Linked DNA regions of Daphnia pulex. The protein of the gene in region 2 purifies or fractionates together with the protein of the main gene of each other region. This does not show direct contact. Links are inferred from orthologs where the notes say so. Each region holds a gene or a part of one and is shown on either strand. Other genes may lie near its edges. The genes, in order: THUMP domain-containing protein 1-like, RNA cytidine acetyltransferase-like and protein AATF-like.

The links.
Region 1: the proteins of RNA cytidine acetyltransferase-like (region 2) and THUMP domain-containing protein 1-like purify together in Homo sapiens (co-immunoprecipitation; 3 studies listed by BioGRID and IntAct, counting the BioPlex papers as one, with this or other methods). This does not show direct contact. The link is inferred for Daphnia pulex from reciprocal best matches to the Homo sapiens genes NAT10 and THUMPD1.
Region 3: the proteins of RNA cytidine acetyltransferase-like (region 2) and protein AATF-like purify together in Homo sapiens (affinity purification with mass spectrometry; 3 studies listed by BioGRID and IntAct, with this or other methods). This does not show direct contact. The link is inferred for Daphnia pulex from reciprocal best matches to the Homo sapiens genes NAT10 and AATF.

The regions. Positions count from the first base shown.
Region 1 is NC_060018.1:5,172,320-5,175,393, forward strand, and holds THUMP domain-containing protein 1-like, read right to left. Parts: upstream 1,664-3,074; 5' UTR 1,533-1,663; coding exon 1,374-1,532; intron 1,321-1,373; coding exon 1,114-1,320; intron 1,060-1,113; coding exon 949-1,059; intron 880-948; coding exon 797-879; intron 732-796; coding exon 518-731; 3' UTR 502-517; downstream 1-501. Other genes in the region: 28S ribosomal protein S34, mitochondrial-like, read left to right, coding at 44-256, 317-487; uncharacterized protein LOC124210585, read left to right, coding at 1,950-2,018, 2,087-3,074. UniProt on the Homo sapiens protein: Functions as a tRNA-binding adapter to mediate NAT10-dependent tRNA acetylation modifying cytidine to N4-acetylcytidine (ac4C).
Region 2 is NC_060023.1:8,182,796-8,187,044, forward strand, and holds the start of RNA cytidine acetyltransferase-like, read left to right. Parts: upstream 1-1,403; 5' UTR 1,404-1,528; coding exon 1,529-1,636; intron 1,637-1,715; coding exon 1,716-1,807; intron 1,808-1,869; coding exon 1,870-2,041; intron 2,042-2,104; coding exon 2,105-2,289; intron 2,290-2,357; coding exon 2,358-2,559; intron 2,560-2,620; coding exon 2,621-2,825; intron 2,826-2,883; coding exon 2,884-3,142; intron 3,143-3,204; coding exon 3,205-3,334; intron 3,335-3,398; coding exon 3,399-3,547; intron 3,548-3,614; coding exon 3,615-3,696; intron 3,697-3,765; coding exon 3,766-4,249. UniProt on the Homo sapiens protein: RNA cytidine acetyltransferase that catalyzes the formation of N(4)-acetylcytidine (ac4C) modification on mRNAs, 18S rRNA and tRNAs.
Region 3 is NC_060028.1:5,997,701-6,001,721, reverse strand, and holds protein AATF-like, read right to left. Parts: upstream 2,770-4,021; 5' UTR 2,655-2,769; coding exon 2,564-2,654; intron 2,502-2,563; coding exon 1,690-2,501; intron 1,630-1,689; coding exon 1,562-1,629; intron 1,493-1,561; coding exon 1,096-1,492; intron 1,025-1,095; coding exon 873-1,024; intron 811-872; coding exon 609-810; 3' UTR 529-608; downstream 1-528. Other genes in the region: sorting nexin lst-4-like, read left to right, coding at 3,031-3,042, 3,199-3,360, 3,511-3,618, 3,686-4,021. UniProt on the Homo sapiens protein: Part of the small subunit (SSU) processome, first precursor of the small eukaryotic ribosomal subunit.

The DNA.
Region 1 (3,074 bases), on a different chromosome or scaffold from region 2:
TCAAGTTATAATCTCGTTTGATTTTTTATAATTTTTTATCCAGGAAAATTTATTTGGAAGAGTACTTGTAGAAAAGGTATTTAGAGGAAAGTCTTTTGGAGAATTTGATTTGTCCAAAACTGCCTATAAGAATGACTTCAAACTGATTCCGAAAGATGAAGAAGAGTTTTACCTCAGCCGGACAATGAAAGCAGAAGATGTAGAAAAACTGAAAAAACCATTGCCTGAATTTATCCAGTTTCCTCCTCTTCTGAGAGTAATGAAATGTTTTCTTTTATGTGTAGAAAAAATTTTAATTATTTTTCTTTTAACTCAGGAAATGATCTCCAAACAAGAAAAAAATCCTAATCCTCTACTGAGAGCAGTATACAATTGTAGTCCTAATAATACAGTACATGTTGAGCCTGGCAAAATTTGCAACAACAAACAAATTGAAAATGCCAAAGCATCTCATCTGTATGAAAACTTAAATCATAATTTACAATGAAAAGAAAAATTAAATTGCAGTCAAAGATTTTTATTTGGCCTTCTGAGCAATTTCAACAAGATTGTACTTGGCTCGTCCTGAATAATTTGTAACTACACCCAAACAGCATGTTGCTCTTAGCACCTCAACGACCATACTTATTTCCGGGTTGTCGAGATCAACTTTAATTTCAGGAAACTTCTTCGAAACCATTTCCGCGATTGGTTCTATTAGGGCATCTCGTTTGATATTGTGATTTCTTATCCTGGATAAAAATTATTAGAATTACTCATGATTAATTTTCACAGTCAAAACATGAATGATGTTTACTTGATGAGGAGAGAAAATGTTTTGTAATCAGCCATTTGGTCAATGAGATTCTCAGCTGCTTTCAAGATATCTTCCTTCACAGACTATCATTTCAAAGATGATCATAAATTATTTATTAAATGTAGTGCATACATCAATATTGGGTAAAATACCTTGCAAGTCAGTTGAATTGGAAGCATACGTAACAGAAATTTTGTAGTTTGCTGCTTTTTCTTTTCAATATCATTAATTATTGCATCTACAACTGCTGAAGGATTTTCAACCTAGAAAAGAACTGTTAAGCTTGAACTTACATAAAAAGAACTAAAAATTCTTACTGTTGAGCGAATAAAAATGCATCCTTTAATGTTAGTCATAACACACTGGAATCTTCTTTCAGAAACAGGTGCAGCTTGCTTCTTTTTTAATTCCTCCATTTCTTTAGACAACTCATCTTCAATTTCTTCTTTTTTAACCTCTGACAATTCAGGCTCCTCCTTTGGTTTTTCACTACCATAAATGATATCAGCATACTCATTCAAAATCTTAAAGGATAAGTTAGTTATGAACAATAAAACAAATTATTTGTTGTGTTTACATTGTAGGCTTCTCTGACACTTTCTTTTTCTCTGTTTGAAGTACATAGGAAACCTTTCTGTCCAGGCCCTAATTCATTGGAGGATTTCCTAGCCTGCTTTGCAGATTTGATATAATATGCCTTGTCTTTGGCTTTGCGTTTGTTTCCGGATTCAGACATCGTTAAATGCTAATGTTAAAGGATGCTAATGGCTAACTTGCTCAAGTGCGCGTGTTAAATATGAAACTCGAATGCAGCAGACGGAAAAGTGGAAAACGGGCTCGAAATACAACCCCAAGCGACAACCGTTAAAACTAAATACACGAAGTTTCTTATATATTTTTAATAACTTAATATATATATAATTTTGCCTTCTTAGATTTTAAAATTATATTAATAAAAATTTGAAATAGTATTGATCTTCAATTCAAATCGTATTCATCGATAAATTTTCTTTCCATGCGTAGGTCATTTGTGAACGCACCGATCGACTTCTGACAGATGTTCAAAGTTTGTGTGGGAGCTGGAAGCTGTGGAAACGTTGGTTACCATTTTTGTCAAGCGTGACATGTAGGAAATGAAATCTGGTTGTTCAAAATGTCAAACACAAATACAAACTACGTCTCATGCATTCGAGTGGAAGGGAAACCTATTCTTCCACCTCTTGTAAGTTTTGATTTCTGTGACATGATTTTTTCTTTGTATACCTAACCATTCCAACTATCTCTGTCCAGATGAATGATGATAAACGACGAGCAATGCGGAAAATTAGAGATGAAGCTGTTGCAATTGAGTCCCGATTGAAAGAAAAACGACGGGCCCAACTTTTGGAGCAAGTCCAAATAATTCTTGATAAATGTGTGACACTTGATGAGCTGAATGTTTCAAAAGTGACACCCTCAAAGTATCGTCTCATCAGTGAACCTTTATTGCAAACACCAGTGAAGATCAACAGTTCTCTTTCTCAGCCAACAATTAAACCGCTGCCAGTAACATCATATTCATTACCATCCACTCCACTACTTGATGACGTTTCAATTGAGAATCTCCACAAGAAGTTTTTGTCCATGAAACAAGACTGCAAAGATGTTAGCATTTCAGAGTCATCAGCTGTAAGCACTGATCTAGGACCTTACATGCAAAACTCAGATTCAGATTCTAGCTCAACAGAATCTGGAACTTCAACACCACGGGCATTGACCATCTCCGATACTGATATTTCTACGAGCTTAGACTGTTCAACCCCTATTAAATCTCAAAGAATGCGGCGCTTATCTTACACACTGGAAGCGCCTAGCCCTGTACTTTTAAAAATGATGCAGAACAAAGCGGCTGAAGAAGAGAAACTTGCCGTTTTGAATGTGCCTAAACTGAACCTTTCTGATTCTGACGAATTGCAGGGAAATGATTCCAACAATGTTGAAGCCATGAAACAAAACAAGAATGTAATCCATGTTCCATCAATGAAATATTCTGCAACCATTTCGGATAAAAGTTCAAATATCAGCGAGGAAAATTCAACCCACAATTTAGTGAACTTGAATTTGCGTCCTAGAGATACTGAGGATGTCGTTAACGGAAACTCTAATGAAAAACAAATGATCAACACTTCTGAAAAGCCAAACAAATCTAAAGTTGAGCACATGTCTGTAACTTGCGATAACAACGGAAATTCACCCAGAACCCAAGATGTGCACAAAAATGGAAATTTCCTCGAAGACT
Region 2 (4,249 bases):
CACTAAAGCTGGTTTTGTGGAACGTGATGATGAAAGATGTGGATGCCTTTCGGCTAAATTGTTGGCAAATACTGATTAAAAACCGGTGTTTGACTTGATTATCGTACGGTTTCCGAATGATTAAATTACGCGGAGGCAAGACGTAAACAGTTGAAATTCTTTGATCGGCTCAGACCAGTCAAATGAAATTTCTTCTACATCTGGCGGTCATCTCCAAACTTGTTTTCTTTTTTCAATTTTTGTTCCAATATTTACATTAAGCTATAAGTTGTAATAATTTATTTTAAAAAATTTTATTTTTTGTTCTGCTTTTGAAAATTTGTAATCACTACTCGGAAATTGATTGTTTGTTCATAATTTTTGTGGGCGACTTTCATTTGAGTTTGTTTTAAGTTGTGTTTTTTTTTTTTTATTGTGACATGACCTGGTTTTGTGAAGAACGGGTGTAGTTAGGTTTTGTCGGCCGAAATGGAATTGTTAAATTTTACGGATCGAAAACCTCCCCTACCATCTCCGGTTCCTGCCCAGCGTCCTGTTCTGCCTCCGTACCCTTCGCCAATTCCCACCCGGCCTCCGCAATCACTTCCCGTTAGACCTTTCCCTTCAGTTCCTCTGCAACCACTTCCAGCTCCTCCTTCAGTTCCTGTCTATCCGCAACCGTTTCCAGCACCTTCATCACTTCCTGTCCGGCCTCTAATGCCGCCACCTACTCCTGCCTCCACCACCACCAACAACTGTCAAACCAGCCAGGCCCATTACCACTCGACCCACAACAACATCTCTTTCTCCTGACAAGTACTGGAAGCAAACTTGGACTACTTCGGCTCCCAATTTGATCTGCAACAAGAGGTGGTGTTGGGACGGTCAAATGTTTTTCGACACAATAGGCGATTCAACTGAGAAAAGCGTTAATATTTTCAAAAAACCTACACTACCGTGAAATGTGTTCACAATTTGATCACTAATACGCTCAATGCCTCGGAAACAATTAAACCAACGCAATAATCAATCAAAATTTAAATTATTAGCGTACACAAACATAAAGTCTTTCCACCGTAGATGTTCGTAGACGTGTCATACAGACAAATTTGTTAGGTACAAAACAAGCCTGATCTGCAGTCGTTCAAATGAGTTGTTTAATGAACCCTGACTGAGTAAACGAAAAAGGCTAAGGAAAAATAGTTTCAGTCCACCGCCTAGCTCAGGAATAATCGTACTCAGTACTATCTAAGTATCTAACGATTAATAGTATAGATTTAATAGTCAACAAGGAAGAATAGAGGTAAAATTTTTTCCTACCTTTAAGCCTGGGAAATACGGCCAGGCATCCATTCCATCCACAGAATAGTTGACTGTTACACCAGCCGCGAGCCCGCGAAAGAGAATTAAAGAGCAGTAGTCCGAGTGGTGAGACAGGGCTTGTGTGGTAGTAGTTAATGGCGGCCTCTATGATCGAGCATGACATACACGTCTGTGATTTAAACATTGGGACTGTCTCCTCGAACAATTTGTAATATTTCTGCTAAAAATGGTGCGCAAAGAGTTGGATAAGAGGATTCGCACCTTAATCGAAACTGGAGTAAAACAGGGACATCGATCCATGTTTGTAGTTGTCGGTGACAAAGCCCAGGATCAGGTATAAATAATAAAACTAACCATGTTTCTTTTGAGAAGAGACAACATGTGACACACTATTTTTTGGTTTCTTTTTAAAGACGGTTATTCTACACAATATTTTATCAAAGACGACAATCAAATCAAGACCCAATGTCTTGTGGTGTTACAAGAAAGACTTGGGTTTTAGCAGGTATTACATTTTTTTATTTTTGAAAGATGGGGATGCTTAAACATGTTTTTGGATACTTACAGCCATCGTCAGAAGCGAATGAAACAGATGAAACAAAAGAGAAAACAAGGCAAAGTTGACATCAATGAAGATGACCCGTTTGAGCTTTTCATCCTTTCAACCAACATTCGGTACTGTTACTATGCAGAGACACATAAAATTCTGGGTAACACATTTGGAATGTGTATTCTTCAGGTTAGTCTAATTTTTTGTGTCTACTTTTTAAAAAATTGTAAAACTATCCGTATGTTTTCACAGGATTTTGAGGCCTTGACTCCCAACATCCTAGCAAGGACCATTGAAACCGTCGAGGGAGGAGGCCTGGTTGTTCTCTTGTTGAGATCCATCAACTCACTTAAGCAGCTCCATACTATGGCCATGGATATTCATGCGCGGTACAGGACTGAAGCACACAACGACGTGGTTGGCCGATTTAACGAAAGGTAAAAACCCAAGATAACTTGTACATGTTTTATCACTGCAAACAACTAAAAATATTATTAATTTCTAGGTTTATTCTTTCTTTGGCCTCTTGCAATCGTTGCCTAGTTGTTGACGATCAACTCAACATTTTGCCCGTTTCGTCTCATTCCTTCGAGATTAAGACTATGCCTGCAGTTGAAACAGTTGAAGAATTGAAAGAACTGAAAGCTAGTATGCAAGATACTCAACCTGTTGGTTCGCTTTTGAACTGCTGTTGCACTCTTGACCAGGTAATTTAACACAATTAAAGAAAACAATGAACTCGGCATTTAACGAAGTACCGCATTTCAGGCCAAAGCTGTTCTCAAATTTGTTGAGTGCATTTCGGAAAAAACATTGAGATCAACAGTGGCGTTGACGGCTGCTCGTGGACGTGGTAAATCAGCCGCATTAGGACTGTCGATGGCAGCTGCAGTTGCCTTTGGTTACTCCAACATATTTGTCACAAGTCCTAGCCCGGAAAATCTGAAAACTCTTTTTGAATTTATTTTCAAAGGTGAGACTTGTTTGAGATCTAGTTGTGAAAAGTATTTTTCTAATTCCCAACATTTCAGGCTTTGATGCACTTCAGTACAGCGAACATGAAGACTACAGCATCACGCAGTCGAGCAATCCTGAATTCAACAAAGCCGTAGTGCGAGTAGATATTTTCCATGATCATCGACAGACCATCCAGTATATCCATCCGACAGACGCAGCCAAACTTGGCCAAGCTGAACTGGTCGTGATTGACGAAGCTGCAGCCATCCCTCTACCACTTGTAAAAGCTCTGCTTGGGCCCTATCTGGTTTTCATGGCATCCACCGTCAATGGGTAGGCTCGCTTGTGAAATATTAAAACTGTACACGTCAAGTTGATAATTGCCCGTGTTTTAGGTATGAAGGTACAGGCCGATCTTTGTCACTCAAGTTGATTGAACAGCTGAGAGTGCAAAGCCGACCCATGGGTGCTTCTACTAAACACAAGGAGATCGATTCAAAACTTCTGGGACGAAGCTTAGCCGAGGTGAGTTTATTTAGAATGGATTTTTTTGGGATTTATTGGTTAATTTTAGTTCGTTTTTATGTAGATTACTTTGGATGAATCTATTCGATACCGGAACGGGGACGCTTGTGAAGCTTGGCTGAATCACCTTTTATGTTTGGACGCAACTTTGGCTCCGCCTATGCCGGCAGGTTGCCCATCACCCGAGAATTGCGACCTCTACTATGTGGACAGGTGAGCTTGATTTAAATATGACTTGTTTGTTTGTTTCTAATTTGCTGAGTACTAAATGGGAATTTAGGGACGCGCTATTTTCCTACGATAAAGCATCAGAAGCTTTCCTTCAGCGTGTCATGTCCTTGATGGTATCATCACATTACAAGGTAAAACCAGACTACCTTTTCTTTACCCGTGCATCTTTTAATCCACGCCATTTAACTTGTTGATTTTAGAACACCCCCAATGATCTTCAAATGCTCTCTGACGCACCTGCGCATCATCTTTTCTGTCTGCTCGGGCCTCTGGCGTCATCAGGAGGCAAGACGCATGAAGTGTTTTGCGTCATTCAAGTCTGCCTTGAGGGTGACATTTCAAGCGCATCCATCATGCAAGGACTGGCTCGAGGACAAAGATCGTCTGGTGACTTAATCCCTTGGACCGTGGGTACGCAGTTTCTTGATCAAGATTTCCCGAAACTATCTGGAGCACGCGTCATCCGCATCGCCACTCACACGGATTACCAAGGCATGGGTTATGGTAGCCGTGCACTGGAGTTGCTGGAAAAATACTATGAGCGAAATATGATCAACATGGAGGAAACGGAAGAGTCCGAACACAAAGGCCTCAAGATTGTCAACGAAGAGACTGTTGGCGAGCTCGGGAAGGATCAAGGAAAATCACGAAAGTTGCGACTTTTGCTGAAACTTAGTGAAAGGA
Region 3 (4,021 bases), on a different chromosome or scaffold from region 2:
CCGAACGCACCTCTTTTTCAAAAGCCCAGTTTAGTGTATATTTTTTGTTTTTAGCTTTCAAGACTTCATATTATGTGTAGAATGAATTGTTTTACAAAGTTCATTTTTTAGGATTAAGAAAAAAATCTCGAAGAATTTTAAAAAAAGAAAGAAAGAGACCATGGTGTTCGGATTTTTTTGGACGATACTGTACTGTATTTACAAAATAATTACAAAAGATATTGACCGTAATGGAAGATGCTTTAGAATGCATTTTATGTAGTATATTAGCGTATTAGATCACGGGTAATCTCTCTTGCCTGTTGCCTTCTTATAACAAATATCGACTACATGAAACGTCCCAAATCAGACACTAGGTAAGGTTTTTGCTTTAGTTTTAGGTTTATGCTTATGCGAGTGCTCGTACGTTATACAGCTATTATTGCATTACTTTTAGGTTTGTGCGTTCCCTGAAAAGTGCCGCGAACGGCTTGCCATAATTTCTTGAAGCCTACATTAGAATACTTTAACAAAAACAATGTAGAAAAATAGGCTGTTCGCACACACGAGACTGAAAGTTTATTTAGACGTCTTATATAAAGAACATACATAAAAGACAGTCATCACAATTACTTAACAGTAGGCCCTGACCCGAACAACGAGGCAAACAGCTCATTTTTGGCAATGTCATTCCATGAAGCCTCAGGATACGGAGCCATGAAGGAAACAAGTTTAGGATGCACCTGATATCGAAGTCTTCGTCCTTTGCTTGCCTTTGAATCGACTTTTCGTTTGGCTTTCGATCGCAACTTTTGAATTTCTAACCATTGCCTGCATTTAAAGTTCACACTTAGAAACAACATGTATTAGATACAACACCAAACGCTACTAACCTTCCAAGAGCAATTTGATTTGAGCCAGCTTCGCCAGTTTTTTTTTCAATTAACTCACGAAGTAATTGATGATAGAAATCATCGTCATCATAAATTTCAGGATCGAATTCTTCATAATCGACTTCTTTAGTTTCGGGTAAATGTTGGTCATCCTAAGGAGAATTACTCAATAATTACTTGAACATATTAAGGGGTAAAAAACGATTGTTAGCTATCAAATTACTTGTATGTGTTCCTCTCCTTTTCCATTAATTGTATTTTCCTTGGGACTGAGTTTAGAAATAGATCCCAGTATGCGATAGGTAGATCTCTTTATCCGTGTACGATTTATCAACCGTTGCTTGTCGCTAAGGATACCCTCAATTTGTTTCAAGATAGATTGATCAAAAGCCCCAAATCCGGCTTTGCTTCCAGACCCCGTTCTCCCTGATGCTAATCTTGTTTTTTCATTCCACATGTTCAGTGTACGATGCCAAAAACCGCGCAATTTTTCGTGTCTTTCTCCAATCTCGGATTCATATCCGACTATTTTTTGTTTTTTGCGCTTTGGTCCTCCATCATCAATGTCCTCGTCGTCTTCTCCAGCTTCTTCGTCAGTGTCACTTGGAATTTCTTCATCACTATTTGACAAGGAAACACTTTTAAATTTTAATTAATGCCTTTTAAACTGAAAAATTAACATTTAATACCTGCCCTCTTCGTTAGACTTTCGTTGCGTTAATGCTTTTGTTTGTGGATTAGATTTAAGAAGAAGCTCCTGAATTTTTAATTTTTTTATTATTTTAAGTAATTTAAAATACAATAAAACAGGAATTACCTCTAGCTCAAGGCAGTTGTCCAATAATGATTTAATAGCTGCCTGAGCACCTTGACCTGCTGCAACAAAATGGTTTTCTCCACTTGCTTTAGTAAAAAGCTTGTAATTTGAAGGAGCTTGAGGTAACTGATTACATAAATTTATTCCTTTATGCATCTTTATACGACACTCAAGAAGATGATCCCATAATGAGAGTTGATTTTGGATAGATTTTCCCTTGTTTATATCATTATCATGAGAATTTTTTGACATTTTTTTAACTTTTTCATTTTCTTCTCCTTCACTGTCATCTACACTTCCAATGTCTCCTTCCTCTTCTTCCTCCTCTTCTCCCTCCTCTTCACCCTCCTCTTCACCCTCCTCTTCACCCTCCTCTTCACCCTCTCCTTCTTCAAAATCAGCTTCTTCGTCATCTTCAGATTTATTCAATTCACTTTCATTACTATCTTCTTCATGAATATCAGATTTCAATGAACCACTTTCGTCTTCTGATTCCTGGAAGATGTTGGGTTTCTCTGATTTGTTGTTTGTTTCTTTCATGAATTTGTTCTTAAATTCCAGAATATTTTCTTCCCCACTTTCATTATCAGATTCTAAAGATGACTCAGAACTTTTGTAGCCTTCTCCTACAGGAGAATTTAGATCTTTGCGACTGACACGCTTCCCAGCATATCGGCTATCTGAAACAGCTAATAATTCCACATTCTTTTGGCGTAGATTAGATTTATTTTTTGGTGCTTTATTCTTAACCACCTGAGTGTTATCATACGACTCATATTGGTCATCAAAGGACTCCAGCCTTGCTTTACTTTCTAGAAAGATTAGAAACACTTTAAGAAAAACAAGTAGGTGTTATTTTGTTTCAATTTGTTACCTTCGTTATATTCATCTTCTGGATCAGCAAACTGAGGTGTTGGATTGGCAAGTTCGGCTAATCTTTCACTTAGGGATTTGCCTTTCGACATTTCATAAATAAATGTTTCACAATGTATACATTTAAGTTTCAGTATTCTAAAATAATTGATACCGCGTGTCGCGTGTTTTACTACCAATACACGTTGCAGACGAATTCGAACAATCGTACTTCTTTTGTTTTTCTTTCAAACCAATGCAGTTAATATCTTTCTACAGTAGATGGCATTACTTACTAGACAGAAGAAACATTAGGGCCTTAAAATGTCACTCGGGTCTCAGATTTTGTAACTTATCGTTTGGTTTCAGATTCAGCTCTGCTCATCACTGACTCATTCCTCTCAGCTGTTATTAGGGGGCGAGACGAAATCAGTTTGACAGCACACAGCAGCAGGGGTATTGTAAAAAGCTGAGTTTTTATTCTTCGAGATGGCTGGTCAGGTAACTTTTGAGTTTTGATTCCGGTTTTTCTAATTATCAGTTTCGTCTTCTAGTTAGAACTATAAATTTTCTCACTCCTGTAACTGCTGTTACCATTTCATTAACCATATCCGGTTTCGAAACCAGTTTAATTTACAAAATGAATCGTTTTTCTAGGCGCGCGTCCTTTATGATTTTGAAGGCCAGCCTGGCACATCTGAACTATCTATTGTTACTGGTGAAGTTCTAACTGTCACTAGTAAGGATGTTGGTGAAGGATGGTGGGAAGGTAGTAATCAACGTGGAGTTAGTGGAATATTTCCTGCAGCCTACGTTGAGGTATGAATTTCTTCCTACTCCTGTTATGTCATGCATGCTAGTGTAAAACCAGAAAAGAATTTTGTATCATTTGGATTTTTCTGTATTAATAACATGTAAATTGAATTATTTTAAACCTCAAAAAACCATTTTATTGTATTAATTCAACAGGCTATTGAACAAAATTACAATGCACCTCCTGCTATGCCTCCTCCTCCATTGCCCCAGATATACGTAGAGGAAAATGTAGCTCCAGCGATTCAACAGCAACAATCACAGGTATTCCAAAAACATTGTGGAGATTCCTGGTAACTGTATTAATAAGGTATTTTCAATCTACTTCCAGTACGACGATGATTGGGATGACGACTGGGATGATGACGTTTCTGAAGCCAACCAAGGTAGCAATCCGGGAAACCCTGCTGCAGGTGGGAGAAGCAATAGCGACGTTGGTAGTGCGCTTGATGTCAACATGGCAGGGTTGAAATTGGGAGACGGTAAAGGAACCGTTCGTAAAAATTTGAACCGGTTTTCTCACTTCGTTAAAACTGGCGGAGAAGCTTACATTCTGGGGGCAAACAAAGTGACGTCCACTGATAGTGACCAAATCCACATCATCGAAACCAACAACGGTATCACATGGGCTCCGAATCCTCAACCTTACTCGTGTGTAGTGGCTTCA